Arabidopsis thaliana: one gene and its partners. The protein of the gene in region 1 purifies or fractionates together with the protein of each later gene. This does not show direct contact. Each region holds a gene or a part of one and is shown in the gene's direction. Other genes may lie near its edges.

Evidence for each region.
Region 2: the proteins of PK1 (region 1) and MCM4 purify together in Arabidopsis thaliana (affinity purification with mass spectrometry, with the first as the bait; one large-scale study listed by BioGRID). This does not show direct contact.
Region 3: the proteins of PK1 (region 1) and AT1G04810 purify together in Arabidopsis thaliana (affinity purification with mass spectrometry, with the first as the bait; one large-scale study listed by BioGRID). This does not show direct contact.
Region 4: the proteins of PK1 (region 1) and ASN3 purify together in Arabidopsis thaliana (affinity purification with mass spectrometry, with the first as the bait; one large-scale study listed by BioGRID). This does not show direct contact.

The regions. Positions count from the first base shown.
Region 1 is NC_003074.8:2,650,807-2,656,079, reverse strand, and holds PK1 (protein-serine kinase 1), read left to right. Parts: upstream 1-1,867; 5' UTR 1,868-1,971; exon of another isoform or gene 1,972-2,488; 5' UTR 2,489-2,716; coding exon 2,717-3,322; intron 3,323-3,407; coding exon 3,408-3,490; intron 3,491-3,579; coding exon 3,580-3,874; intron 3,875-3,958; coding exon 3,959-4,063; intron 4,064-4,190; coding exon 4,191-4,499; 3' UTR 4,500-4,759; downstream 4,760-5,273. Other genes in the region: AT3G08740 (elongation factor P (EF-P) family protein), read left to right, coding at 1-67, 150-230, 412-518, 608-685, 801-902, 996-1,077, 1,174-1,292. UniProt on the Arabidopsis thaliana protein: Downstream effector of TOR signaling pathway involved in osmotic stress response. Could be involved in the control of plant growth and development. Phosphorylates the ribosomal proteins P14, P16 and S6.
Region 2 is NC_003071.7:7,125,775-7,132,592, reverse strand, and holds MCM4 (Minichromosome maintenance (MCM2/3/5) family protein), read left to right. Parts: upstream 1-1,863; 5' UTR 1,864-1,927; coding exon 1,928-1,964; intron 1,965-2,032; coding exon 2,033-2,722; intron 2,723-2,819; coding exon 2,820-2,948; intron 2,949-3,021; coding exon 3,022-3,103; intron 3,104-3,175; coding exon 3,176-3,308; intron 3,309-3,391; coding exon 3,392-3,463; intron 3,464-3,560; coding exon 3,561-3,683; intron 3,684-3,774; coding exon 3,775-3,888; intron 3,889-3,967; coding exon 3,968-4,180; intron 4,181-4,288; coding exon 4,289-4,387; intron 4,388-4,512; coding exon 4,513-4,673; intron 4,674-4,772; coding exon 4,773-4,869; intron 4,870-4,969; coding exon 4,970-5,131; intron 5,132-5,232; coding exon 5,233-5,313; intron 5,314-5,386; coding exon 5,387-5,465; intron 5,466-5,574; coding exon 5,575-5,711; intron 5,712-5,827; coding exon 5,828-5,887; intron 5,888-5,982; coding exon 5,983-6,057; 3' UTR 6,058-6,314; downstream 6,315-6,818. Other genes in the region: AT2G16450 (F-box and associated interaction domains-containing protein), read left to right, coding at 1-1,073. UniProt on the Arabidopsis thaliana protein: Probable component of the MCM2-7 complex (MCM complex) that may function as a DNA helicase and which is essential to undergo a single round of replication initiation and elongation per cell cycle in eukaryotic cells.
Region 3 is NC_003070.9:1,348,417-1,355,989, forward strand, and holds AT1G04810 (26S proteasome regulatory complex, non-ATPase subcomplex, Rpn2/Psmd1 subunit), read left to right. Parts: upstream 1-1,663; 5' UTR 1,664-1,887; coding exon 1,888-2,033; intron 2,034-2,416; coding exon 2,417-2,486; intron 2,487-2,690; coding exon 2,691-2,796; intron 2,797-3,109; coding exon 3,110-3,218; intron 3,219-3,296; coding exon 3,297-3,465; intron 3,466-3,654; coding exon 3,655-4,115; intron 4,116-4,221; coding exon 4,222-4,357; intron 4,358-4,459; coding exon 4,460-4,708; intron 4,709-4,807; coding exon 4,808-5,028; intron 5,029-5,124; coding exon 5,125-5,383; intron 5,384-5,504; coding exon 5,505-5,737; intron 5,738-5,823; coding exon 5,824-6,322; intron 6,323-6,497; coding exon 6,498-6,845; 3' UTR 6,846-7,050; downstream 7,051-7,573. Other genes in the region: AT1G04800 (glycine-rich protein), read right to left, coding at 219-821. UniProt on the Arabidopsis thaliana protein: Acts as a regulatory subunit of the 26 proteasome which is involved in the ATP-dependent degradation of ubiquitinated proteins.
Region 4 is NC_003076.8:3,212,130-3,218,243, reverse strand, and holds ASN3 (asparagine synthetase 3), read left to right. Parts: upstream 1-1,692; 5' UTR 1,693-1,825; coding exon 1,826-1,905; intron 1,906-2,165; coding exon 2,166-2,304; intron 2,305-2,490; coding exon 2,491-2,586; coding exon of another isoform or gene 2,587-2,590; intron 2,591-2,775; coding exon 2,776-2,917; intron 2,918-3,019; coding exon 3,020-3,115; intron 3,116-3,299; coding exon 3,300-3,394; intron 3,395-3,488; coding exon 3,489-3,650; intron 3,651-3,735; coding exon 3,736-3,816; intron 3,817-3,900; coding exon 3,901-4,122; intron 4,123-4,205; coding exon 4,206-4,340; intron 4,341-4,549; coding exon 4,550-4,630; intron 4,631-4,715; coding exon 4,716-4,802; intron 4,803-4,893; coding exon 4,894-5,001; intron 5,002-5,097; coding exon 5,098-5,310; 3' UTR 5,311-5,593; downstream 5,594-6,114. Other genes in the region: DOT3 (Phototropic-responsive NPH3 family protein), read left to right, coding at 1-201, 282-531, 599-727, 830-1,216. UniProt on the Arabidopsis thaliana protein: Essential for nitrogen assimilation, distribution and remobilization within the plant via the phloem.

The DNA.
Region 1 (5,273 bases):
TTTTCATCGATGAATCGACTGGCGCTCCCCGCCGTCCGGATTTCTCCCCGAACCAACAGATTTCCCAGTTAATATCTCTATTCGCTTCTTTAAATTCGATGCATGCATTGATTTTGAAATTTATATTCAGACACGTTTGATTTTTGCAGGGATTCACTGCTCTATGTCTGCTAACGACATCAAAGCGGGAACCAATATCGAAGTCGATGGTGCTCCTTGGCGTGTTCTTGGTATTCTTCTTCCTCAATTCCTCTTAGTTTATGTTATTATCTATACTTGGAACTTGGAAGGTTTCTGAATTTGTAGATACTATTACTAGTTCATGACGATTTAAGCATTGTTTTGGTTATAATGCTTCCACTTAGCTACTTACTAGTCTACTGAGGGTTTTTTCTTGCTTTGTTGGAGCAGAGTTTCTTCATGTTAAACCAGGAAAAGGTGCGGCATTTGTGAGAACTAAGATCAGGAACTATGTGAATGGTAGCACAGTCGAGAGAACATTTCGTGCTGGAATTTCTGTAAAAATCATCTCTTTTTCTCTTATATCTTAATCTGATGAATGATTTTTTAGTTGCACCATTTTGATTATGACCATTCTATGTTACAGGTTGAGGAAGCTAATATATATAAAGAAACCAAACAATTCACATACAAAGATGGGTCTCAGTTTGTTTTCATGGATTTGGTATGTCACATTGGATCCTTACTTCTCTTCTTCGCTAGTATGGTAGTAGTAGCTTAAAGTTTGTGTACTAATGATTACGTTTTCTCTTGGTTATCAAATCTTTTTTTTTATATAGACCACATACGAAGAAACACGTCTTAACGAATCTGATATGGGTGAGAAGACGAAATGGTTGAAAGAAGGAATGGATTGCATTTTGCTCTATTGGAAAGACAAGGTACACTCACTTTCAGCTTCTCTGTAAAAATAGTTAATAGTTCACGTAATTAAGCGGTGATGCCAACTTTGTTTCTCTCTGGATCTTTGCAAGGTTATCGATTTCGATCTACCGATTACAGTTAAGCTAAAAGTGGTTGACGTTGATCCTGGCCTTCGCGGTGATACTGTGCAAGGTAACAATGTTGCACCAATCTATTGTTGAGAGATCTCTTCTCATGTTTTGGTTTAAACAAGCTTAAACTGACCAAGTGGGGTGATGAATTTCGTAGGTGGATCAAAACCGGCGACAATGGAAACGGGTGCAATAGTTGCTGTACCACTCTTTATTAACGTCGGTGAAGAGATATTTGTGGACACAAGAACTGGTGCATACATGAACCGAGCGTGATCCGGGTCTACTACACCTAGTTAATTGGGTCGTTAACAACAAGGCAATGATACATCTTTTTTGTATATGAGAATGTTCGAATCCGGGGACACATGTTTGTTTTTCTGAACATCGAGAGACAATTTTTCGATTAAATAAATTTATATATATTTAAGTTTGATTAAAATCAGCAAATTCATACAAGAACTAACATAATTTGGTCAATCCTAATGCTTTTCGTAACTGTTTAAAAGCATGAAATTTTTTATGATAGAAAGGTTAAGAATGAATGAGGAACATCGAGCTAGAGAGATTCAATGGAATAAGAGATTAATGGCTTCTAAAATCTCTGGATACGCAAAATACTCTCTCAGTCTCTCACAAATTGATGTATTTTGTGAATCTAATGGCTGGTAAAATTTCCTCATTGTGGATTTCAAATCCACATAATCCGGAAAAAAAAGATATGATCTAAAAAACAACAAAAAGTCAGGAAGAATGGGCTTGGTGAAAGGCGGCCCACTAAAATAAATAAAGAATTAGTGGACAAAAAAACCTCCGCCGCATATTTAACAACTGGTCAACGTTCTCCCAATAAGATACGGCCACGTGTATGAACCCCTGGATCTGCGATGCTGCTCTTAAATTCTCCTCTCGTCCTCATTTCCATCTTCGTCTCCTCCCTCAGCCATCCCCTCTGGTAATCAATTCTCCCTCTCTATCTATGTTTGTTTGAATTCTCTCTCGCATAGTTAAGATTCCTTTTTTCGTATTCTAGATCCATAGAATTTATCCAAAATTCATGAATTGTTTCTAAGACACGAAACGGTTTAAGTTCAGGTCATAGTTTTTCTGTAGATCTCGATTTACGTGAAATTTTACTTACCAATAGATCTGAATTATCGAAATTGCAGTTCCTTTTCCTCGAGTGTCTCGTTCGGCTTCATGTCCTGTGGAATTTTTAATCTTTGTCCGATTCTGAATCCGGAAATTGTTAGGGATTTGGGTTTTATTCAAGATTTGTCATCGCTGTGAAAGTTTTCCCTTTTTTTATGTGGGTTCGAAGTTTTCTGAAAATCTCAATTAGTAAAAGGATCACTGGACTTGCTTATATTAATTCTACACCGTCTCTTCATAGATTTGGTCAATCCTGTATCTCAGATCTTATTTGTTCATGTGATAGCCTTTAAATGTGTGAACTTTTCATGTACTTGCAGAGCTTATAAAACCTTCATGGCATTTGCGCACTTCTGCAGCATCCACTGTTTCCTTAAAATCGGGAAACAACAAGAGCTTCTTCTCCTTGTTATTGGATTGCCTTTTGCCAGCCTTTGTTTTAGTCAGTTTTCTCCTCATTAACTTCTGTCGGTACAGAATCTCTCTCCAGGCTGGTGAACTCTTGCAGCTTTCTCAGTGATTCTGTATCGATTTTTCCCGTGTAAATTATGGTTTCCTCTCAGCGTCCTGTCCCCAACAAAATCCAGAAACAGCAATATCTATCCATCAGCCCTTCAAATTCTGTCTTGAAAGATGATGTTGAACTTGAGTTCTCTGATGTGTTTGGTCCACTCCCCGAAGAGGCCAATGATATTGCTTACGACGAGCCTGCTGTTGTCTACAGTCGATCCCACTCCTTGGTTGGCCCGTGTTCGCTCGATAGTCATTCTTTGAAGCTGACCAAGCTCACCTTACTAGAGACTGAGGACTCAATTGACTTGGTGGAGTGTCTCGAAGGTGAATCTTTAAAAGAAAATGATGATTTCTCTGGTAATGACGACAGTGACAATGAGAAAGCTTTAGAGGGAGATCTGGTGAAAGTCTCAGGTGTAGTAGGCATAGATGATTTTGAGGTTATGAAGGTTGTTGGGAAAGGTGCGTTTGGGAAAGTCTACCAGGTGAGGAAAAAGGAGACCTCTGAGATATACGCTATGAAAGTCATGAGGAAAGATCACATTATGGAGAAGAACCATGCTGAATACATGAAAGCTGAGCGCGATATTCTTACAAAAATTGATCACCCATTCATTGTTCAACTTAAATACTCTTTTCAGGTATATATAACACTTCTCTCTGTTAGCATCCTATTTATTTTACTTTACTATTTCTTAACTTAGAGCGTTATACATTCCCTTGCAGACCAAGTACAGGCTGTATCTTGTGCTCGACTTTATAAACGGAGGTCATCTTTTCTTCCAACTCTATCACCAAGGGCTTTTCAGGTTTGTTTAATTCCTTTTTGCGAACCATTTTTGAAGTTTCGCTAGAATTTTGTAAAGCTTAATTGGTTCTATATTTTACTCTTTCGCAGAGAGGACTTGGCTCGAGTGTACACTGCAGAAATCGTCTCTGCAGTTTCCCATCTCCATGAGAAAGGCATAATGCACAGAGATCTGAAACCCGAAAACATACTCATGGATACAGATGGCCACGTGATGCTAACAGATTTTGGTTTAGCAAAGGAATTTGAAGAAAACACAAGATCAAACTCCATGTGCGGAACTACGGAGTATATGGCACCTGAAATTGTTCGAGGAAAAGGACATGATAAAGCAGCTGACTGGTGGAGCGTAGGGATTCTTCTGTATGAGATGCTCACAGGAAAGGTAAAAGCCGCTATCTATTGTTAATTTGCTTGAAGCCTCATGTCTTGGTATATTGTTGTGTGATGTCTTGTTTTCCTTCTGCAGCCACCGTTTCTCGGGAGCAAAGGAAAGATACAGCAGAAAATTGTGAAGGACAAGATCAAGCTTCCGCAGTTTCTGTCTAATGAAGCTCATGCAATACTGAAAGGGGTAAGTAAATGTTGGTGCAGTTTGATTACAGAATCAACAGTAAACATGAAAATCTTTGTGCAGTTAAGAACTATGAAGCATTGTATTTAGAACAATTCTGACTCTTGACTTTGTAATGAATGTATAGCTGCTGCAAAAAGAGCCAGAAAGGCGACTTGGAAGTGGACTGAGCGGAGCAGAGGAGATAAAACAGCACAAATGGTTCAAGGGAATAAACTGGAAGAAGCTGGAGGCTAGAGAAGTGATGCCAAGTTTCAAGCCGGAAGTATCGGGAAGGCAATGCATAGCAAATTTTGACAAGTGTTGGACTGACATGTCTGTTTTGGATTCTCCGGCGAGCAGTCCCAGTTCGGATCCTAAGGCCAACCCTTTTACCAATTTCACTTACGTCAGGCCTCCTCCTTCATTCCTTCACCAGTCCACAACTACTTTGTAGATTTACTATATTTTTATGTAGTTCCTACTTCTTTGGTTGTTGTTTCCTTCTGACACATGAACATTAAAGAAAACTTTGGTTACCAAGACGCTTAATTTATAATTGATTTTATGAGATTGTTATTGATTGAGATTAAGTAGAGCAGCTAACACTTTGACCTTTTGACCCACGATGTAATATAAAAGAACGTTGAAAACGTGTAAATATAAAAGATGATAACGGTGATGCCTTTGGACCGAACTAGTGTCCGTCTGAACGTCTTGTAATGTAATGGGCTTAAAGAATTCCGGCCCACTAAAACAAAGAAGAAGTTCGGTTTCCCAATAGAACACGAACACGTGTCCTCACCCCATGATCCACGATGCTTCGGAAGACATAAAAAATGTAGCCACGCGCCTTCTTAAAACCTTTTCCTTTTTTGGTTTGGCACATTACCCTCTTTCCTGTTAAAGTTGTCTCGTCTCCTTCTCGTCTCCTTCCTCAAGCATATTCTCTGGTAATTCCTCTCTCTCTGTCTCTCTTTGACTTTTCTCTCGCAGAGTTTAGATTCTTTTTTTTTCTGGATATAAATTATTTACACGACACGAAACCTTCTAGGTCCAGGTCATAGTTTTACTCTATATCTGGATTTGTTTGAAAATTGCTTGTGTTATGCGCCAGCTTTTTCCCTAATATATAGACTAGGTCTTAATTACAGATATTAGAGTTCGTTTCCTCGAGGGTTTCTTTCGACCTCGTGTCCTGGTGAAATTTTGGAATTCTAAGGCTTTGGGG
Region 2 (6,818 bases), on another chromosome or scaffold:
TGTGGAGGTTCTTCTCGTCGCCACAGCTTGAGAATCCATATGAGAAATCCTCATCGACTCTTGTAGCAACCGCTGAATTTCATGTGAGATTCTCTCCAGACAATCTACTGATCTGTCATTATTATGACCTAAAATATTTTTCAATTGGTTATGCCTTTGGCTTGATCTATATCTATGGTAATCGAGGCCGGGCTAGACCTCTAATATGTAACCCCACTACAGGACGGTATGCCATCTTACCTAATCGGTATACTTACAGAAAGGCGTTTAGCTTTTTCGGGTTTGACCCAATTGACAAGCAATACAAGGCATTGTCCATGGTTTATCCATCTGGTCCTGGTCATAGTAGAGTTATTACATTTGGAGCTGGAGATCTGAAGTGGAGAAGGATAAAATGTTCATTGCGACATGATATTAAGAGTGAAGGGGTATGTATCAATGGGGTTTTGTATTACTTAGGTGACACGTCGGATTGGAGTCGCGTTAATGGTAATCACGTAACGTCTGGTTATATGATAGTTTGCTTTGATGTTAGGTCTGAAAAATTCACCTTTATTGACGTAAAAAGGTTTTGTCGATTGATAAACTACAAGGGCAAATTAGCTGTGATTTATTGGGAGGATGATGTCGACATTCAAGAGCTTTATTACAAAAAGGGTATAGATGTCGAGGAATATGTGGAGAATAATGTCAACGCTGATGCCACTAATGAGTTGTGTGTGTGGATTCTAGCGGATGTTGAGAAACAGGAATGGTCGAAACATGCCTACACTTGGACCGATGAAAAGTTCTTCCGTCGTTTGGTATCCATCGCTGGAGTGACTGCTTCGGGTGAAATAGTGTTTTCGATGCGCAAGTGTAATCCTAAACAACCGTTTTATGTGTTTTACTTCAATCCCGAAAGGAACAGTCTCCAACGTGTTGAAATTCAAGGTTTTGGTGAAGCCGTTACGAAATCTTGTGACGTTTGCACCTTTGTAAACCACGTAGAGGATCTCAATGTTTACGATTTAAAACAACTCAAGTCAGTCCATCCTCCATTGGTCGAGCCAGAATATTATGATTCAGATTAAGAGTCAGACTGAGAAGGGACAAGGAGAAGAAGACTGACAAGTGACAAGGATAAGGAGATAGAGACGAGCCAGGTGAAAGCAATGGGCATGCCATTTTATGCTCTTACTTATGCGTTTTTTTTTTAAATCAACATTATCTATGTTTACTGTTTTTTTTTTCTCTTTTGAACGAGCTTTATATGTATCCTTCATTTTGTTTGGTCTCAAGAACAAGGTGTTGCAGTTTCTCTTAGTTCTCTGTCTTAATCTGAGTATCTATTCTTTGAATTTCAGCATGGTTTCTTCTGGATGAGATCTGTCCTCTGTTCTGTTTCAATATCTTGTTGTGTTTGTCGGTTGTGTGTGATGGGACTAATTTTCATGATGACACTTTGGACTAAATACTTAAATGGGATTTGTACAAAATCGTTCACTCACTTGAAGAAAACATTCCTTGAATTCTACCATTCCTGGTTTCTATTAGTCTCAGTCTTCATGTTTAAAGTATGCAACTTCTTGTTAGCTTAGTTTTGAAACTTTTGGTTCTCTGTAACAAAGGGTCTTGTAAGCTGTCTTTGAAAGAGGGAACATTCTCGTTAACAGTCTTTATGGGTCTTATGCTTTGTTGCTTCTCTAAGTTTTTTGTTTGAACTTGTGAATGGCGAATAGATGAGATCTGTCCTCTGTTCTTAACATCTTATTGATTTTGTCATTTGGTTTAAGAAATGGGACCAATAGGCCCAGGAATTAGGTCCATTAAAAGCCCAGTAATAATGGCGCCAAAATCAAGTGAAGTCCCCGCCTAATTCATCTCTTCTCACTAAAAAAGCGTCGAAACCTCTCACTCCGTCTCTCAATCAATTCTCCGATCAGCCATGGCTTCTGATTCTTCTCTCGGCAACACCAACGACGGTACTATCTCTCTCCCTCTCTCTAAATCTGAAACTGCTTCATAATTTTGACGAATCTCACTACCTCAGGTCCTCCTTCTCCCGGAGAAAACGTTTCAAGCCCTATCGAAAACACATACTCTTCCCCCGCCGCACTTCACCGTCGCCGGCGAGGAAGATCCTCTACTCCCACGCAATTCGCAACTCCTCCACCACCGCCTTCACGTCTCGCATCATCCAATTCCACTCCTCCAACATCTCGTCCTTCCGCCGCCAGATCTAAAGGAAGAAATGGACACGGAGGTGGCGGTGGTGGCGGTGGTGGCGGAGACCCAGGGACGCCAATGTCCACTGACGAGCCACTGCCTTCTTCCGATGACGGTGAAGAAGACGGAGGCGACGATACTACTCCGACTTTCGTTTGGGGAACTAACATCAGTGTGCAAGATGTTAAATCTGCGATTGAAATGTTTGTTAAGCATTTCAGAGAAGCTAGAGAGAATAGTGATGATTTGTTTAGAGAAGGGAAGTATATGGTTTCGATAAGGAAGGTGATTGAGATTGAAGGAGAATGGATTGATGTTGATGCGTTTGATGTGTTTGATTATGATCCTGATTTGTATAACAAGATGGTTCGTTATCCTTTGGAAGTTCTCGCTATCTTCGATATTGTGCTGATGGATATTGTTTCCACGATTAATCGTTTGTTCGAGAAACATGTTCAAGTTAGGATTTTTAACCTCAGGACATCTACTTCCATGAGAAATCTCAATCCATCTGGTTAGTATGATTCAGTTTTTGTTCTTCTTGGTTTCTTAGTTCTCTCTAGTGGTAATAGCTTAGCTTATGTTTGGATGTGTTTTGTTTGGTTGGTTAGATATCGAGAAGATGATCTCTTTGAAAGGTATGATAATTCGGAGTAGCTCTATCATTCCTGAAATAAGGGAAGCTGTGTTTAGATGCCTTGTTTGTGGTTACTTCTCTGACCCCATCATCGTTGATAGAGGTAATTTGGTCATTTGGATTTATCCAGATTTTATGTATCTGCATAGTTTCTCATAATGTTGTTTGATTGATAGGGAAAATAAGTGAGCCTCCTACTTGCTTGAAACAAGAGTGCATGACCAAGAACTCCATGACACTAGTGCACAACCGATGCAGGTAAGTTCTAGACATAGTATATGTCTGATTCTTATAATTTCTGTAACTTACCTTCTTTATTTTGTGTATCAGGTTTGCTGATAAGCAGATTGTGAGGCTTCAGGAAACACCTGATGAGATTCCAGAAGGAGGAACACCTCACACAGTTAGCTTGTTGCTGCATGATAAGCTAGTTGATAATGGGAAGCCTGGTGATAGAATTGAGGTAATAAAAGCAGTAATTCTATCAGGGTAGTACATTCATTCCTATGGTTTTCGTTGACAATCAAAAGCTTGTTTTCTGGATAGGTCACCGGAATTTACAGAGCAATGACTGTCCGAGTGGGACCTGCTCACAGGACTGTGAAATCTGTGTTTAAGGCATGTCATCTTATTTCTTCCTCTGTTAGTTATTTCCCTTTATTGTAATTACGTTCTGACATTGTCATTTATGTTTTCTTATGAATGTTGAGGACAGACCTATATCGATTGCCTTCACATAAAGAAAGCAAGTAAGTTAAGAATGTCTGCTGAGGATCCTATGGATGTTGACAATAGTCTGCGTAGAGTTGATGAAGATGTCGAGTTAGATGAGGAGAAGGTATTTCATCTATTTAACTAAAATGGTTCTACAGTTTTGTATCTTATTCATTCGTCCCTCCATTCCAACCAATATTTGTGTTACTTTTCAGCTGAGGAAGTTTCAGGAACTCTCTAAACAACCAGATATATATGAGAGGCTTAGTAGATCACTAGCACCAAACATCTGGGAGTTGGATGATGTTAAAAAGGGTCTTCTATGCCAGGTACTGTAACGCTTTTGATACTGACTTATGGTTTAAACAAAATTAGTTCTTTTTACTGAGTCAAATTTCAAATGTGAAGCTTTTTGGAGGGAATGCTTTGAACTTAGCATCTGGTGCTAATTTTCGTGGTGACATCAACATCTTACTTGTTGGTGACCCTGGTACGAGCAAGTCCCAGCTGCTCCAGTACATTCATAAGCTTTCACCCCGTGGCATTTACACAAGTGGGCGAGGGAGCTCAGCTGTTGGTTTAACAGCTTATGTAGCTAAAGATCCTGAGACAGGAGAAACTGTATGCTAATATTGTTTTCAATCTTTTTATTATCAGCTGTTTTTTTTTATTCTGTGTTTCAAAGTTTTCATAAACCTGACATGCTAACATGAATGCTACATTGTTTAGGTTTTGGAGAGTGGAGCTCTTGTTCTTAGTGACCGAGGTATCTGCTGTATTGATGAATTTGACAAAATGTCTGACAGTGCGAGGAGCATGCTACACGAGGTTTGTTCCTCTCTCTCTTTTTTAGCATTGCTCAAAGTCGTAGCTTACAGTTTTTGGGTGCCCCCTGTGAATGTGGTCTCTAGTCAATAAGATTGCATTACTGATGAACATTGTTTCTCTGTCAGGTGATGGAACAGCAGACTGTTTCAATAGCAAAGGCTGGTATTATTGCATCTCTAAATGCCAGAACCTCTGTGTTGGCTTGTGCAAATCCTAGTGGCTCACGTTATAATCCCCGGCTTTCTGTTATTGAGAATATTCACCTTCCTCCAACCTTGCTATCTAGGTATGTTGCAATCCTTCAACAATGTGACATTATTTTTACTAAAGGCTAATGGTTTCCTCTATTTGGTGTTACTAATTATAATCTCATTTTGCTTCTTAGATTCGATTTGATCTACTTGATTCTTGACAAGCCCGATGAGCAGACTGACCGAAGGCTTGCAAAGCATATTGTGGCCCTTCACTTTGAGAACGCTGAGGTCTTATATTATATATTTTCCCAGTGTGTATGATATGTTGACAGACAATTATTTTTTGCCTTTATCTTACTTAATTGGTATCATTTGTGTCAATATACAGAGTGCTCAGGAGGAAGCTATAGATATTACTACACTGACAACTTATGTTAGCTATGCCCGCAAGAACATTCATCCTAAACTGTCAGATGAAGCTGCAGAGGAGTTGACCCGAGGATATGTTGAGCTGAGAAAAGCAGGGAAGTTTGCTGGCAGTAGCAAAAAGGTGTGCCCTCGAAACTTCAATATCTTTTCTATGTCGTAACCAAGGCTCATAAAAAGGCTATGACTAGTCTAACGCTATGAAACGCTCTGAATTTGGCACAGGTCATAACAGCAACTCCTAGGCAGATTGAAAGTTTGATCAGACTTAGTGAGGCCTTGGCTCGGATGCGCTTCTCCGAATGGGTTAGTTAAACGCTCATATTATACATTTTCCTTTCATCGTTCTAAATCAACTGAAATGGTTTTTGTGATAAAGGTTGAAAAGCATGACGTGGACGAGGCATTTCGACTTCTCAGAGTTGCAATGCAGCAATCAGCAACGGATCACGCCACAGGTAGTTTTTTCACAGTAACTTTCAGACCCATTATTATCATCAGGATAAAGATAAACAGTAGCATTCAATACCAATCTAACAATAAACACCTGTATTTATGTTGGTGAAGGGACCATTGACATGGACCTGATAAATACTGGAGTGTCAGCAAGTGAACGAATGAGGCGGGATACCTTTGCGTCGTCAATTAGAGACATAGCTCTGGAGAAGATGCAAATTGGAGGATCATCAATGCGCTTATCCGAGGTATTCATGCACTACTCCTTTCTTTTTCCCAATTTTGTTATATGCCAAAAGCAAGCAAATCAGTTTACAATAAGAGAAACCGTTTCTTAAGTACAATGGAAATGTTGTTGTTGCAGTTACTTGAAGAACTGAAGAAGCATGGAGGCAACATAAACACCGAAATTCATCTTCATGATGTGAGTCATTTATAACACTTTGCTACATATCAAAAGGTTTTTGGTCTAAGGACAGAGACATAACAAAGTATTTGTTGTTGTGACGCATTAAACAGGTTAGAAAAGCAGTCGCGACGCTAGCGAGTGAAGGATTTCTGGTAGCTGAAGGTGATAGAATCAAGAGAGTATAATCACAGATTCATGAGGAAAGCTTAATATTGCTGTGATTAGAGAGTTTGATGATGGTTTTAGTAGCATATTAATAGTAGGATACCCAGCAAATGATGTGGCTCGGTCCATCTTCTCACTATTTGCTAATTTGTAATGACTTATTTTGTTACTAGATATCACTTTGGCACTGACAAAAAAATGGATCAAATATACTCCCAACAAAGCTAACTTGCGAATGAGATAGAAATCAATAAAATCGTTCCAACTCGACCAAACATAAGACAATGTGTGTATTCTTTAGATCACTACCAAAATTCAAAAATATCTTCATGCTTATCAATTTTTATATATAGCAAAAATAGTCTTCCTTCAGTCTTATTCTCGTAAACTATTATTCACTTGATGAAGTTATTTGTATCTTCATATGATATAATTAAGAATTTTTAAAAAGAACAAAAAACGAAGAATAATCATTTGAAAAAGTTAGAGCATTGCAATTACAAACTTTATAGCATGAAAAGGTGGATCGTACAAAAGAAGAAAGTTAGATAAAAAGATTGAAAATTGGGTCCACATAGAGAACATTATTGGATTTCGATAGAGATATGGTATGGACTAAAATGACAAGTGATCATGCGTTCAAAAAAGTAAACGATACGATTGGTCTCTAACTTTCTTCGTTTCTTATTCGTAAGGACGTGGAACTCGTTACTCCTTACCTCTCTTAGTGCTCCATCTCTCTCATGTCACCTAGACTTCGTATAAGTCAACTTGATTGTAT
Region 3 (7,573 bases), on another chromosome or scaffold:
TTTTAAAATCAATTTAAATGCACAAGGCTTTGTTTAATCGTTTTATTCACTTTACTTGCACGAAGAAGCAAGATACAATCATATTCAAAGAGTAAAACAAACTAAAGAGAAACGACATACATTTCAGTTATTGTTACATATATAACGAATTAGTTTTCTTAAATGACATGCATTGGATTTTAGCTCCTCATCAATGCACATTACGGTTAAACAAATTCTCAGTGACCTCCGCCGCCAATTCCTCCACCAATTTCTTTACCGGCTCCTCCGCCGATTCCTCCAATGGCTCCACCGTCAACTCCTTTACCTGCTCCACCGTCAAATCCTTTTCCGACTCCTCCCTCAATTCCTTTTCCGATTCCTCCCTCAAATCCTTTGCCGACTCCTCCATCAAATCCTTTTCCGGCTCCACCGTCAACTCCTTTGCCAACTCCTCCATCAAATCCTTTCCCGGCTCCACCGTCAACTCCTTTACCGGCTCCACCGTCAACTCCTTTTCCGAAGCCACCGTCAACTCCTTTACCGGCTCCACCTCCGAATCCTCCTCCACCAAATCCACCGCCTATTCCTCCACCAAAGCCTCCAACACTGCCTCCAATCCAACCGCCACCTGCTCCAAAGCCGCCTCCACCGCTGATACCACCACCACCACCTAAGTCGCCGAATTCTTTTTTAAAGCCCTTCTTGTGGAGGAGAGGATGAGGGTGAGGGTGAGGAAACAAGGGCTTCTCATCACCAAACTCTGCTTCTCCCATAGTAAAATCTGTGACCAAAGCAAACACCAAAACAAACACACGCACTTTACCGGCGATTAGACCCATTGTTAGTGGAAACTTAAAATGTTTGTAGTTAAAATATTAGAAGCTATTGGAAGAGGATGTTTTGATACGAAATTGCTTCTTGCATGAGCAGTATATATATAGACTTAGAGAGAGATCGTGATAGCATAAGCACTTTTCGTCAATGTGCATGGATTCAACCTGTACAACAACTAGGATATAATTGCTGTTGAGTAAAAACAGTTAAAGATGTTTCACCGGTCACTGGACAAGTTTTATGTTTCATTGTCTGCCCAACTGCCATATTGATCTCATCCAACACAAAGAGAAAAATATGATGCAAATATAGTTGAAAAATTGAAGAACATATGACACCAATTATTATATACAGTTCCTTGAATTATATTAATCATACATTCATATCAATTATATTAAAATTTAATTTGAAGGTTGTCCAGGTTTCAGAGGGCAATAACTAAAAATGAAAATGTTTCTGCATGTCTATTCATAATTTCATATTAAGTGAAAACTCGTATGGTCTAAGAGAAAATATTTACTAGAAAATAATTCTGACTTGATAAAAGATGTAGTCGCTTTATAGGTTGGAGGACAGGCCATGTCAATCTATGGAATATTGAACTATCTATATAAACCCTAAAATGTGATTTCATTTATTTGTGAGCTTTAGCTTTTTAGGTGTCATCAATCAATGATGTAAACTAGAAACTCATATGCTATACTTCCAAACAAACCAATAAAGTTTTTATTATGGGCCGCTAGATTGGTCCATTAACACTATAAGATATATAGTCTGGCCCATCATTAGACCCAATTTTGTATTCCGACTTTATGATTTTGTTTGGATCCATCATATATATTTGGGGTGAAAGTGTAATCTTATTAAACATTTAGGGGTATTGGTAAAAATTACTTGACTTGTTGGGTAAGTATCTTAATATTCGATAAGTCTAGAATTTCGATTTTGATTAGACTTGTGAAAAAGTGAACTCAGAAATTGTGCTCGCCCAAAGTAGTTCGGTTCTTGTGTTCCTCCGTCTGATCAACTCTTCTTCTCCACCTCTAGGTTTCTAATTTTCCGATTAGGATAATGGCCGCCGCCATGGTTAGTTCCGCCGGTGGGTTACTGGCAATGCTCAACGAACCCCATCCTTCCTTGAAACTTCACGCTCTCTCATATCTCATCAGATTGGTTGACCAATTTTGGCCCGAGATCTCCACTAGTGTCCCAATCATGTATTCAATTCTCTCTTCTCTTTTTTTTAATTGTTTCCCTTCGTGAGGCTATTCTGTTTGCTTACTGGGAGTAAAGCTTATGGGATTTGGATGAGTTTTAGCACTCTTGATATTTCTTAGTTAGGGTATTACATTCCAAGTTTTTCCACTCTTGTGTCGAGTTAGATTTGAATGCGTTAATTCACAAGTGACAAACTTTATTGAATTGCTTTACTTAATTCTGTTGATTCTGAATAGAACCATTGTTATCTGGGCTAAGGACGCTCCCTTACCGTCATGATGCGGAAAATTTGTTCTTTTGAAAGTTGTAGAGACTCTACTTTTGCTTGAGATCTTAAACTGTTTTTGTGCTATTCTGAGACCTTTTTTTGATTTTTTTGTAGAGAGAGCTTATACGAAGATGAAGAGTTTGATCAGCATCAAAGACAGCTTGCTGCCTTGTTGGCCTCCAAGGTACAGTTTATCTTTTTATTTAACTTACATGATGACTGGTTTTATATAAATTGTTAGTGGAGATACGAGTGCCAGTTAAACGGATACCTTAAAAGCTGGTAGATTGCTACAGAAGTTCAGAGCTTGAATTTCCTGTAATCAAGTTATGTTATTGTATTATAAGACTTGTTTTCTAACGTTTATGTTAATCTTGTTTTATCTCAGGTTTTCTATTACTTGGGTGAGCTTAACGATTCCTTGTCCTATGCCCTTGGAGCTGGATCCTTGTTTGATGTGTCAGAGGATTCTGATTATATTCATACTCTTCTATGTAAGGATTTTGAAGTTTGCTACTTTCTTCTCTTCTACTTTTTTTATCCAATTCTGTGACAGTAGACACTAGCTCGGTTATCATTCTTAATAGGCGTAAATTCAAAATCATTCCAACCTGATTAAATGGAAGATTAAGAAAATAGTTTATACGATATATTTTCTAACTAATAAGACTTGAACGTCCATCTTTCTTTTAATAAGATTGTGCTGCTAGAAAGTTACGCAAAGACATGATAAGATAGTGATCTTACAGTTACTAACTGTTTAATGTTGAATGTTTTACTCATGGATGCTTCTGTTTTCCTTATCAGCCAAAGCAATAGATGAGTATGCTATTCTCAGATCAAAGGCAGTCGAGTCAAGTGAGGTGGTGGAAATTGACCCGAGATTGGTGGCCATTGTTGAACGAATGCTAGACAAGTATGGGATGCAGAATTTATTTATTTATGTCTGTCTACAAGTTTTTCGTTTTTCCTTACATGGTTTTCTGTTTTATAGATGTATCACTGACGGAAAGTATCAACAAGCCATGGGCATTGCTATAGAATGCCGGAGATTGGATAAGTTGGAGGAAGCGATCATAAAGAGTGAGAATGTGCAGGGAACATTATCTTACTGCATCAATGTTTCCCACTCTTTTGTTAATCAAAGAGAATATAGACATGAGGTGAGTCTGGTGGCCACAAAACTGGATTTTAATAGATGTATTATGTTAATGATACTATGAGCTCATCTTCTTTATTCTTTTCTTACAAATATAATGGTTATAATTCATTGCATTCTTTATGTCAACTCAAAACATTTTTGTAGGGGCTGTTAATTTGTAAATGATAACATCCTTACTTCGTTCTTGCAGGTTCTTCGGTTACTTGTTAATGTTTACCAGAAGCTGGCTTCTCCTGATTATTTGAGCATTTGCCAATGCCTTATGTTCTTGGATGAACCACAAGGCGTTGCAAGCATATTGGAGAAGCTTCTTCGTTCAGAGAACAAAGATGATGCTTTATTGGCTTTCCAAATCTCTTTCGATCTTGTACAGAATGAGCACCAGGCATTCCTCATGAGTGTTAGAGATCGCCTTCCAGCGCCCAAGACCCGTCCTGTAGAAGCAATTCAAGCTGTTGAAACCTCTACTGCTCAGAATGAGAACACTGCAGGGGATGTTCAGATGGCGGATGAAACTCCATCTCAGACAATTGTGCATGAAACAGATCCTGTTGACGCTGTGTACGCTGAGAGGTTAACAAAGGCTAAGGGGATTTTATCTGGAGAGACATCAATACAACTGACACTCCAGTTTCTTTACAGCCATAACAAGTGAGGCAGTTTATTTACCTTTTTTGATATCTCGAAGGATATTTCATTCTTAAGTCGTTTCTTCCACATAGTAAAATTTACAGCAATGGCCATTGTTTCTTTGTAGATCGGACCTGCTGATCCTGAAGACAATCAAACAATCTGTTGAGATGCGGAACAGTGTATGTCACAGTGCTACAATTTATGCTAATGCTATAATGCATGCTGGAACGACAGTTGACACTTTTCTCAGGGAGAATTTGGTAAAATTTATTTTCTCTACCACTTTTTAACTTGTTTCAACGTCAACTATGTGGCATATTATTTAATCTTCTTTTCTTTTCCATTCATGTTTGAATTGTCAGGATTGGCTAAGCAGGGCCACCAATTGGGCCAAGTTTAGTGCTACAGCAGGATTAGGTGTTATTCATAGGGGTCACTTGCAACAGGGCAGGTCACTGATGGCCCCATACTTGCCTCAGGGCGGAGCAGGTGGTGGCGGGAGTCCTTATTCCGAAGGGGGTGCTTTATATGCTCTCGGCCTTATTCATGCAAACCATGGTGAGGGAATCAAGCAATTTCTTCGTGATAGTCTACGCAGCACTAGTGTTGAGGTGATTTGCTATATCTTTCTTCTGGATAGTCTTCCGTTATATCACCAAAAAGATAGTCTTTTGTTTAGAATGATTTTCATTAAAAAAATATGGTTGCAGGTTATTCAACACGGAGCTTGTTTAGGTCTTGGTTTGGCTGCTCTTGGGACAGCTGATGAAGACATATATGATGATATCAAAAGTGTGCTTTACACTGACAGTGCTGTTGCTGGTGAAGCTGCCGGCATAAGCATGGGTCTATTGTTGGTTGGAACAGCAACTGATAAGGCAAGTGAGATGCTCGCTTATGCTCACGAGACTCAGCATGAGAAGATAATAAGGTAACTAAAGTCTGGAATATATTTTTGGCTATGTGTGTGGGTGCATGGTAATTTATTTCAATGTTTTAAGTAACCAACATCTGGTTTTGTGTTTAGGGGATTGGCTCTAGGAATAGCTCTCACAGTATATGGAAGAGAAGAGGGAGCAGATACTTTGATTGAGCAGATGACTAGAGATCAGGATCCTATCATCCGTTATGGTGGAATGTATGCACTCGCATTGGCTTACAGTGGAACTGCAAACAACAAAGCCATCCGCCAACTTCTTCACTTTGCTGTGTCTGATGTCAGTGACGATGTTAGGAGGACTGCTGTTCTTGCACTTGGATTTGTCTTATACTCTGATCCAGAGCAGGTAACTCCATATTCTTTTTGTCTCATTAACTTCTTGACACTATATTCCATTTCTTTAGTGCCTTTAGGGCTCTTGTGCTCGCTTACAGTCATTAACTGGTGGCTCAATATTTAAACTGTAGACTCCCCGTATTGTATCCCTTCTTTCCGAGTCGTACAATCCACATGTCCGCTATGGCGCAGCTCTTGCAGTTGGCATCTCTTGTGCAGGCACTGGTCTGAGTGAGGCGATATCTTTGTTGGAGCCACTTACATCAGATGTTGTAGACTTTGTTCGTCAAGGTGCTCTGATTGCCATGGCCATGGTGATGGTCCAAATTAGTGAAGCAAGCGATTCTCGCGTTGGAGCATTTAGGTTAGTGAAGTTCCGATCTCTTCATCAATTGGAGGGAGTGAGAATAGTTCTCTTTTGAAGACTAAAATTTGTCTGTGCTTTTGCAGGCGTCAACTTGAGAAGATAATACTTGACAAGCATGAAGATACAATGAGCAAGATGGGAGCAATTTTGGCTTCAGGTATTCTTGATGCTGGTGGAAGGAATGTGACGATAAGACTGCTGTCTAAGACAAAACATGACAAAGTCACTGCAGTCATTGGCCTTACTGTCTTCAGCCAGTTTTGGTATTGGTACCCATTGATTTACTTCATAAGCTTGGCGTTTTCACCCACCGCCTTCATCGGTTTGAACTACGATCTCAAAGTCCCAAAGTTTGAATTCATGTCACACGCAAAACCATCGTTGTTTGAGTATCCAAAACCAACTACGGTTGCTACTGCCAACACCGCTGCCAAATTACCAACTGCTGTGCTCTCAACCTCAGCCAAAGCCAAAGCTAAGGCTAAGAAAGAAGCAGAGCAGAAAGCTAAAGCTGAAAACTCTGGCAATGAAGCTGGAAAAGCCAATGCAGCGTCAGATGAGAAGGAAGCAGAGTCTATGCAGGTAAAATGCAAATCTAATTCCCAACATCTTCGTATCTGTTTGAGTTGAAAAATTGCTCTTAACATTTTTTACTTTGGGAAATGCTGTTCCTATGATTAATCTCAAGGTCATGATCAATTTATCATCAGTCTTTTGACTTTTGATCAAGTATATTTTCTCTATGTTACTATGCCAGGTTGATAGCACAGCTACAACGGTGGAGAAGAAGGTTGAGCCAGAAGCAACGTTTGAGATTCTAGTCAATCCTGCGCGTGTAGTCCCTTCACAGGAGAAATACATCAAATTGATGGAGGATAGCCGATATGTACCGATGAAGCTAGCTCCATCAGGGTTTGTCCTTCTCAGAGACTTGCGTCCGCATGAGCCTGAAGTTCTGTCTCTGACCGATGCACCGACTTCAACAGCATCCCCTGCAGTGGGTGCAGAAGCTGCAGGACAAGCCCAACAAGCAGCCACCACCTCTGCTATGGCCATAGATGACGAGCCACAACCTCCGCAGGCCTTTGAATACGCTTCTCCATGATTTTGTAATTTGATCAGTTGCCATTTTGTTTTCTGTTAATTAAACAGAGAAACAGTTCTCCTTTTTTGAACTTGGAGACTAGTACTTATTGCATTGGTTCCGACTTGTTCTTGTGTTAGTAGTTTCTTTAAATCTATATATTACTAAGAGCAGAAATGGTAAACAACTATCATTTTTCCCTAAGTAAAGATTAATGCTATATACCAAAAAAAAAGAAAAAAAGTAAAGGTTAATGCTTGTATGATTTTTCTAGGGGAAATTAGATAAAAATCATTGCAAAAATTTAACCACATTGTTCAGTCGGGGAAAAATAAAAATCTCAGGTTGTCGATTTTGGGTCAAAATAGTTTGTTTATGCTAGTAGGCCTTTTTTAATTTATGTGGGTCAATTATATTACGCTCCTTGTAGCCCAATGGGCAGAATAAAAGTGAGCCCATGAGTGAGGCGCGTGGTAGGCGAACTGTCAAATGAAAATATCTTACCCACTCGCATACTAAGCGCGTATAAGACTGGGAAAACTGCCGTTTTTCGCTAAAATTAATAAACTGGGCGCGTGTGGGCGTTTTTTTACTAATAAAAACGTAACTGGCCTTCTATCTGATTAACCTTGTCCGGCCTTCTTTAGTGAGCCCATTTTTGTTTTAGTTTTATGTTTATAGACCTTATAAAATATAAAGCCCATATACAGTTGTTCCAACCGCAGCAACAACTGTATCCAATTAAGGTT
Region 4 (6,114 bases), on another chromosome or scaffold:
AGTCAGTGTACTTCCTCCACAATCGGGAGCAGTCTCATGTCACTTTCTCTTAAGGATGCTGAAAACATCAATTGTTTACTCTGCATCACCAGCTTTAATATCTGATCTTGAGAAACGGGTCGGCATGGCTTTGGAAGATGCTAATGTATGTGACCTCCTAATTCCTAACTTCAAAAATGAAGAACAGCAAGAAAGAGTCAGGTGAGAAAAATTTACTCTTTAACTTTAGATACTTCGACTAAAGAAGTCTTTATTTGATAACTTTGATTTATGTTCTACAGCTCACCTGAGGTATACACTATATACAATGTGGATGTGGTTCACAGGATTTTTGAGTTTTTCTTGATGCATGAGCAACAACAAGTTCTAGGAAAGCCAAGCATATCCAAGCTCTTGGACAATTATTTAGCCGAGATTGCAAAAGATCCATATCTTCCCATCACAAAGTTTCAGGTTCTAGCAGAAATGTTGCCGGAAAATGCTTGGAAATGTCATGATGGTCTCTATAGAGCAATTGATATGTTTCTCAAGGTAATAAACTCTTTTCTTGTTATTTCATCACAAAACTACAACTAATGATAAAAATTCCCTGTTGCAGACTCATCCTTCATTGTCAGATCACGATAGAAGAAGATTATGCAAAACAATGAACTGTGAGAAACTATCACTTGATGCATGCCTACACGCTGCACAAAATGATCGGTTGCCTCTAAGAACTATCGTCCAGGTATGCGATAAAACAGAACAGTTTTTATCCTATAAGCTTTTCTTGAAGTCAAAGAGTAATACAAGTGACTGACCAAAGCTAAAACATTTTATCATAAACAAGATCAATACTCAAGTGCTTTTCTCGGAACAAGTAAAGATGAGGATGATGATGCAAGACAAGCTACCAGAGAAGGAGGAAGAAAATTCTGGAGGTCGTGAGGATAAACGAATGTCTAGAGATAATGAAATCATCAAGACACTTAAGGAAGAGTTAGAAAATGTGAAGAAGAAGATGTCAGAGCTTCAGAGCGATTACAATGAGCTTCAACAAGAGTATGAAAGGCTAAGTAGCAAACAGAAGAGCTCACATAACTGGGGATTGCGTTGGCAAAAGGTGAAGAAATCGTTCCAGACAAAACGAGAAGATGAGGAAACAAGAGAGAGGACACGAAGAAGAAGTTCCACGGGACAAAGAACTAGTTTCAGGAGGAGAATGTCAATGTCATAAGCCCTAACTTGTGTTTTACGGAATTAAACCAATCAATCATAGTCTCTGCCAAAAAATGTCAGCTTAATGTCAATGTCATAAGCCCTAACTTGTGTTTTACGGAATTAAACCAATCAATCATAGTCTCTGCCAAAAAAATGTCAGCTTAATGCCCAGTTATGTATTCACATTGTTTTGAAGACTGTTGACACATTTGATGAAAAGAGTTGTGACTTTCTGATTAGTGGTTAATCATATGATTAACTCTATTAAAAACCTGCTTATGATGGAACATCATTAGTGATGGAGTATTATCGAACGACATCGTTTCATTGAGAATTGGATATATCAAAACGCGTCGTTTTAAGAATTCCTTTTTTCCTCGAGAATCCGGCGAATCTCGTGACACTGGGGAACAGAATCTTTTTCCGAAATTAATAAGTCAAAGGCAAATTAGGGTAAAGTTAAAATCAGAATCTTTTTCTCTTAAGGAATAAAAATGAATTAATTGTCAGAATCAACGGTCCTGATTGAATATTGGAAACCCATCTTATAAAGTTCATCTTTTTAGTTTTCACAGCATCCATTTCTCTGAAGCCGTTGTGTTCTCTTATTGCCGCCACCACCACCATGTGTGGGATTCTCGCTGTGTTAGGCTGCGTCGATAACTCTCAAGCTAAACGTTCCCGTATCATCGAACTCTCTCGCAGGTATACTCAAATCAAACACATTTAATGTCTCTCATCCAATTCTTTGTTTTCGATCTCCTTGGTTTTGTTTTTGGCTGCGCAATGTTCTAAAGGTTATTGGGTATTGTTTTGGAAGAGAAAAGTTTCCAACTTTATGGTTAAAACGATTTGATTTTGTTAAATGAAGAGCCTTTACTCGATTTCTATCTTGTGGAGATGTTTTGGTCAAATATTGATTGAATGGGTAAACTGATGATGCTATCTGTTGAAATGTTATGTAGATTGAGGCATAGAGGTCCTGACTGGAGTGGTCTACATTGTTATGAGGATTGTTATTTGGCTCATGAGCGTTTGGCTATCGTTGACCCCACTTCTGGAGATCAACCACTCTATAACGAAGATAAGACCATTGCTGTCACGGTAATTTTTCTACTTGTGTCCTAATCTCAATTGCTTGGAGCAACTGGGATTAGTGAATATCGATTCCTTTTTCAATGATCATTGACATGATGAAAAGAAATCATGAGTCAAACCTCAAACTTTATGAGGATTCATGTGATTTAGGAATAAGGAGTATTTTTGTTTGGACTCTTTCCTTGCTTTCAGGTCAATGGAGAGATTTACAACCACAAGGCTTTGCGTGAAAATTTGAAGTCTCACCAATTCCGTACTGGGAGTGATTGTGAAGTGATTGCCCATCTTGTAAGTACTCACTAAGTGAAAGAAGATTTGACTTCATGGCTTCTTTAGATGTTGTGTTTTCTGTTTCTTTTTCTTGTGTGTAAGTTTAAGTCCAATAAGGTCACCTCAATCTTTATTACCTTATGGTAGTTGAACAGTTACTGTGTTCAGACTTCTATCAGTTTGATTTATATTTTCATAATATTGTAGTACGAAGAACATGGAGAGGAATTTGTCGACATGTTGGATGGCATGTTTGCATTTGTGCTTCTTGATACCCGAGACAAAAGCTTTATTGCTGCAAGGGATGCCATTGGTATCACTCCACTCTACATCGGGTGGGGTCTCGATGGTGTGTTCACATTTTTCTAAGATATTCACCTCAATGGGTTAAGATCATTCTTTCTTTGTCGTTGATTACTGATTTATCTTTTTGACAAATTATCTTCCACAGGTTCTGTTTGGTTTGCTTCCGAGATGAAAGCACTTAGTGATGATTGTGAGCAGTTTATGTGCTTCCCCCCAGGCCACATCTATTCAAGTAAACAAGGTTCGCACTTCATATCAGATCACATCTATTTTTAAAATCAAATAATGACATTTCTTGGCTGACTTATATTGTCGTGGAAACGCTCACAGATATCAATGTTGTCAAACTGGTATTTAGTTATCTTTTAGTAAGTTTGTGTTGGGACTTTTACTGTGTAGTTTGATGGGACAAAACTTTCTTGTAGGTGGGCTTAGGAGGTGGTACAACCCCCCGTGGTTCTCTGAGGTTGTTCCTTCAACCCCATATGATCCCCTAGTGGTGCGCAATACTTTTGAGAAGGTAAATTCTGGAGTCTTATCTTCCTTAAGATATTCTCTGACAAATGCTGATCTTATTTTGGAAATATGAATGTGGGCATTTCTTTGAACTGCAGGCTGTTATAAAACGACTAATGACTGATGTGCCTTTTGGTGTCCTCCTATCTGGTGGATTAGATTCATCCCTTGTTGCTTCAGTAGCATTACGCCATCTGGAAAAATCAGAAGCTGCTTGTCAGTGGGGTTCAAAGTTGCACACATTTTGTATCGGTTTGAAGGTCTTGACCCAATTTCTCAAAATGTTTTCACCAAAAGCTTTCTATGCTCATCAAGATTTATAATTTTCATCTGTTTTCTTTTCAGGGATCCCCGGATCTTAAAGCTGGCAGAGAAGTCGCTGACTATTTAGGAACTCGCCACCACGAGTTACACTTTACAGTTCAGGTAAATTTTCTCTTTTACATCTACAAGAGTATTGAGTATGAAGATTTGTTGGTTGTTTATATCTTCCGCTAATGATAATATCAGGACGGAATAGATGCCATAGAAGAAGTCATCTACCATGTTGAGACCTATGATGTGACTACTATTAGAGCCAGCACTCCAATGTTTCTTATGTCGCGAAAAATCAAATCGCTTGGTGTAAAGATGGTTCTTTCTGGGGAAGGCTCTGATGAAATTTTTGGAGGATATTTGTACTTCCATAAAGCTCCCAACAAGAAGGAATTTCATGAGGAAACATGTCGAAAGGTAGTGCCTTAGAGTTTAGACAAGAACTTTTTTTTTGATATACTGCCTTCTGTAATCTTGTTTGTGGGCGGATGTGTTTACAGATCAAAGCTCTTCATCAATATGACTGCTTGAGGGCTAACAAATCAACTTCTGCATGGGGTGTTGAGGCTCGTGTACCTTTCCTCGATAAAGAATTTATAAATGTCGCAATGAGCATCGATCCAGAGTGGAAGATGGTAGGTGTCATCTTTCTCATCACTTTCATTTTCATCTATTTATTACGCACACATCAACCAAAGTGATTGTGAGTCCTTTCTATGATATATAACACTGCTTTCAGGACATTCTAGTTTGAATTGATTCTTTCATGACTTTCTTTTTATCACAAGTTTATAATCTCAAGTTTCAAATTTGGTGATAATTTGTACTCTAAACAATGATGCAGATTAGGCCTGATTTGGGAAGGATCGAGAAATGGGTGTTACGCAATGCCTTTGATGATGAGAAAAATCCTTACCTACCAAAGGTTTTCTAGCAAAAACTTTGCTCCCTGCAATTTGACAAAACTATCTAGCTTTGCTAACAACTTGTCATCTTTTTGGTAAATGTAGCACATTCTATATAGGCAGAAAGAACAGTTCAGTGATGGAGTTGGATACAGCTGGATTGATGGTCTAAAAGATCATGCAAACAAACATGTAAGAAGATGTCTCTTTTAATCGATAAGAAAGAATATTTTAACGTAACAGTTTGATTTTATTGCGGTACTCTCCTTTCTCTTTTGGTAAGGTCTCTGAGACAATGCTGATGAACGCAAGCTTTGTCTTCCCTGATAACACACCTTTGACAAAAGAAGCTTACTACTACAGAACCATCTTTGAAAAGTTCTTCCCTAAGGTAATGATTTTCATCTGCATAACTACTTGGTCTTCTTTAATTGTCTTGATCTTTGCTCAGATTTGTTTAACGGATATATAACTGATAAATGAGCAGAGTGCTGCTAGAGCAACTGTACCAGGAGGTCCAAGTGTGGCATGTAGCACAGCAAAAGCTGTGGAATGGGACGCAGCTTGGTCACAGAATCTTGACCCATCAGGTCGTGCGGCTCTTGGAGTTCATGTTTCAGCTTATGGGGAAGATAAAACCGAAGATTCTCGTCCCGAGAAGCTACAGAAACTAGCAGAGAAGACTCCAGCCATTGTTTGAGGATAAACAAACAAGGTTTCAGCTAATGTTGAATCGTGCAATACTCTTATTGTCTCAAAGACAATAGATATCCTCTTCTATAGGTTCTAAAAAGGCTTTCTTTTTTTCTTGTTTTCTGGGGTTCTTTGGATGTGTACCTAATAAGTTCCTGGTGAATTTCTGTGTTTAGTGTTATTAGACAATCCATGAAAGCTTGATACTTCAGATTATGAACGTTATTTTTCATGAATCCGATTCTTTCTTTCTTTTTCTATCTCAAAAGCTATTTTCTTTGTTCTGTCAAAAAGTGTGATTATCATCAGTCTATATTTTGATTCACTTTGGTTTTCTATAGTAATTCAAACTTCAAAGTACACTGTAATTGGAATTGAAACGATACAGAGAAGAAGGTTTAGGTTGGTTCATGCAAATTAAACGGATCTTTATAGAAGAAAACTGGCGTTGGCTATTGTGGGAATAGTACCTTTCTATTAAAGTTATATTGTTTAAGTGTTCTACTATCATCACAAGGACTCTGTGGCCCAATGGATAAGGCGCTGGTCTACGAAACCAGAGATTCTGGGTTCGATCCCCAGCAGAGTCGTTGTTCTTTTATTTAATCTTCCTTTTAATTTTTTTCGCGCCAGATCTGTTTTTACGGTCTAATGAAAATTTGAAATTCATTACAATTCTTATAACTTTCTTGTGGGTTGTTTATCCATAACATATTTTATAACATATAAACTACACCAATTAGATATTTGACGTTACGATTCTTTTAATTAGTCGATAATCAGTATTTGGTTGCCAATAAAATAACTGCTC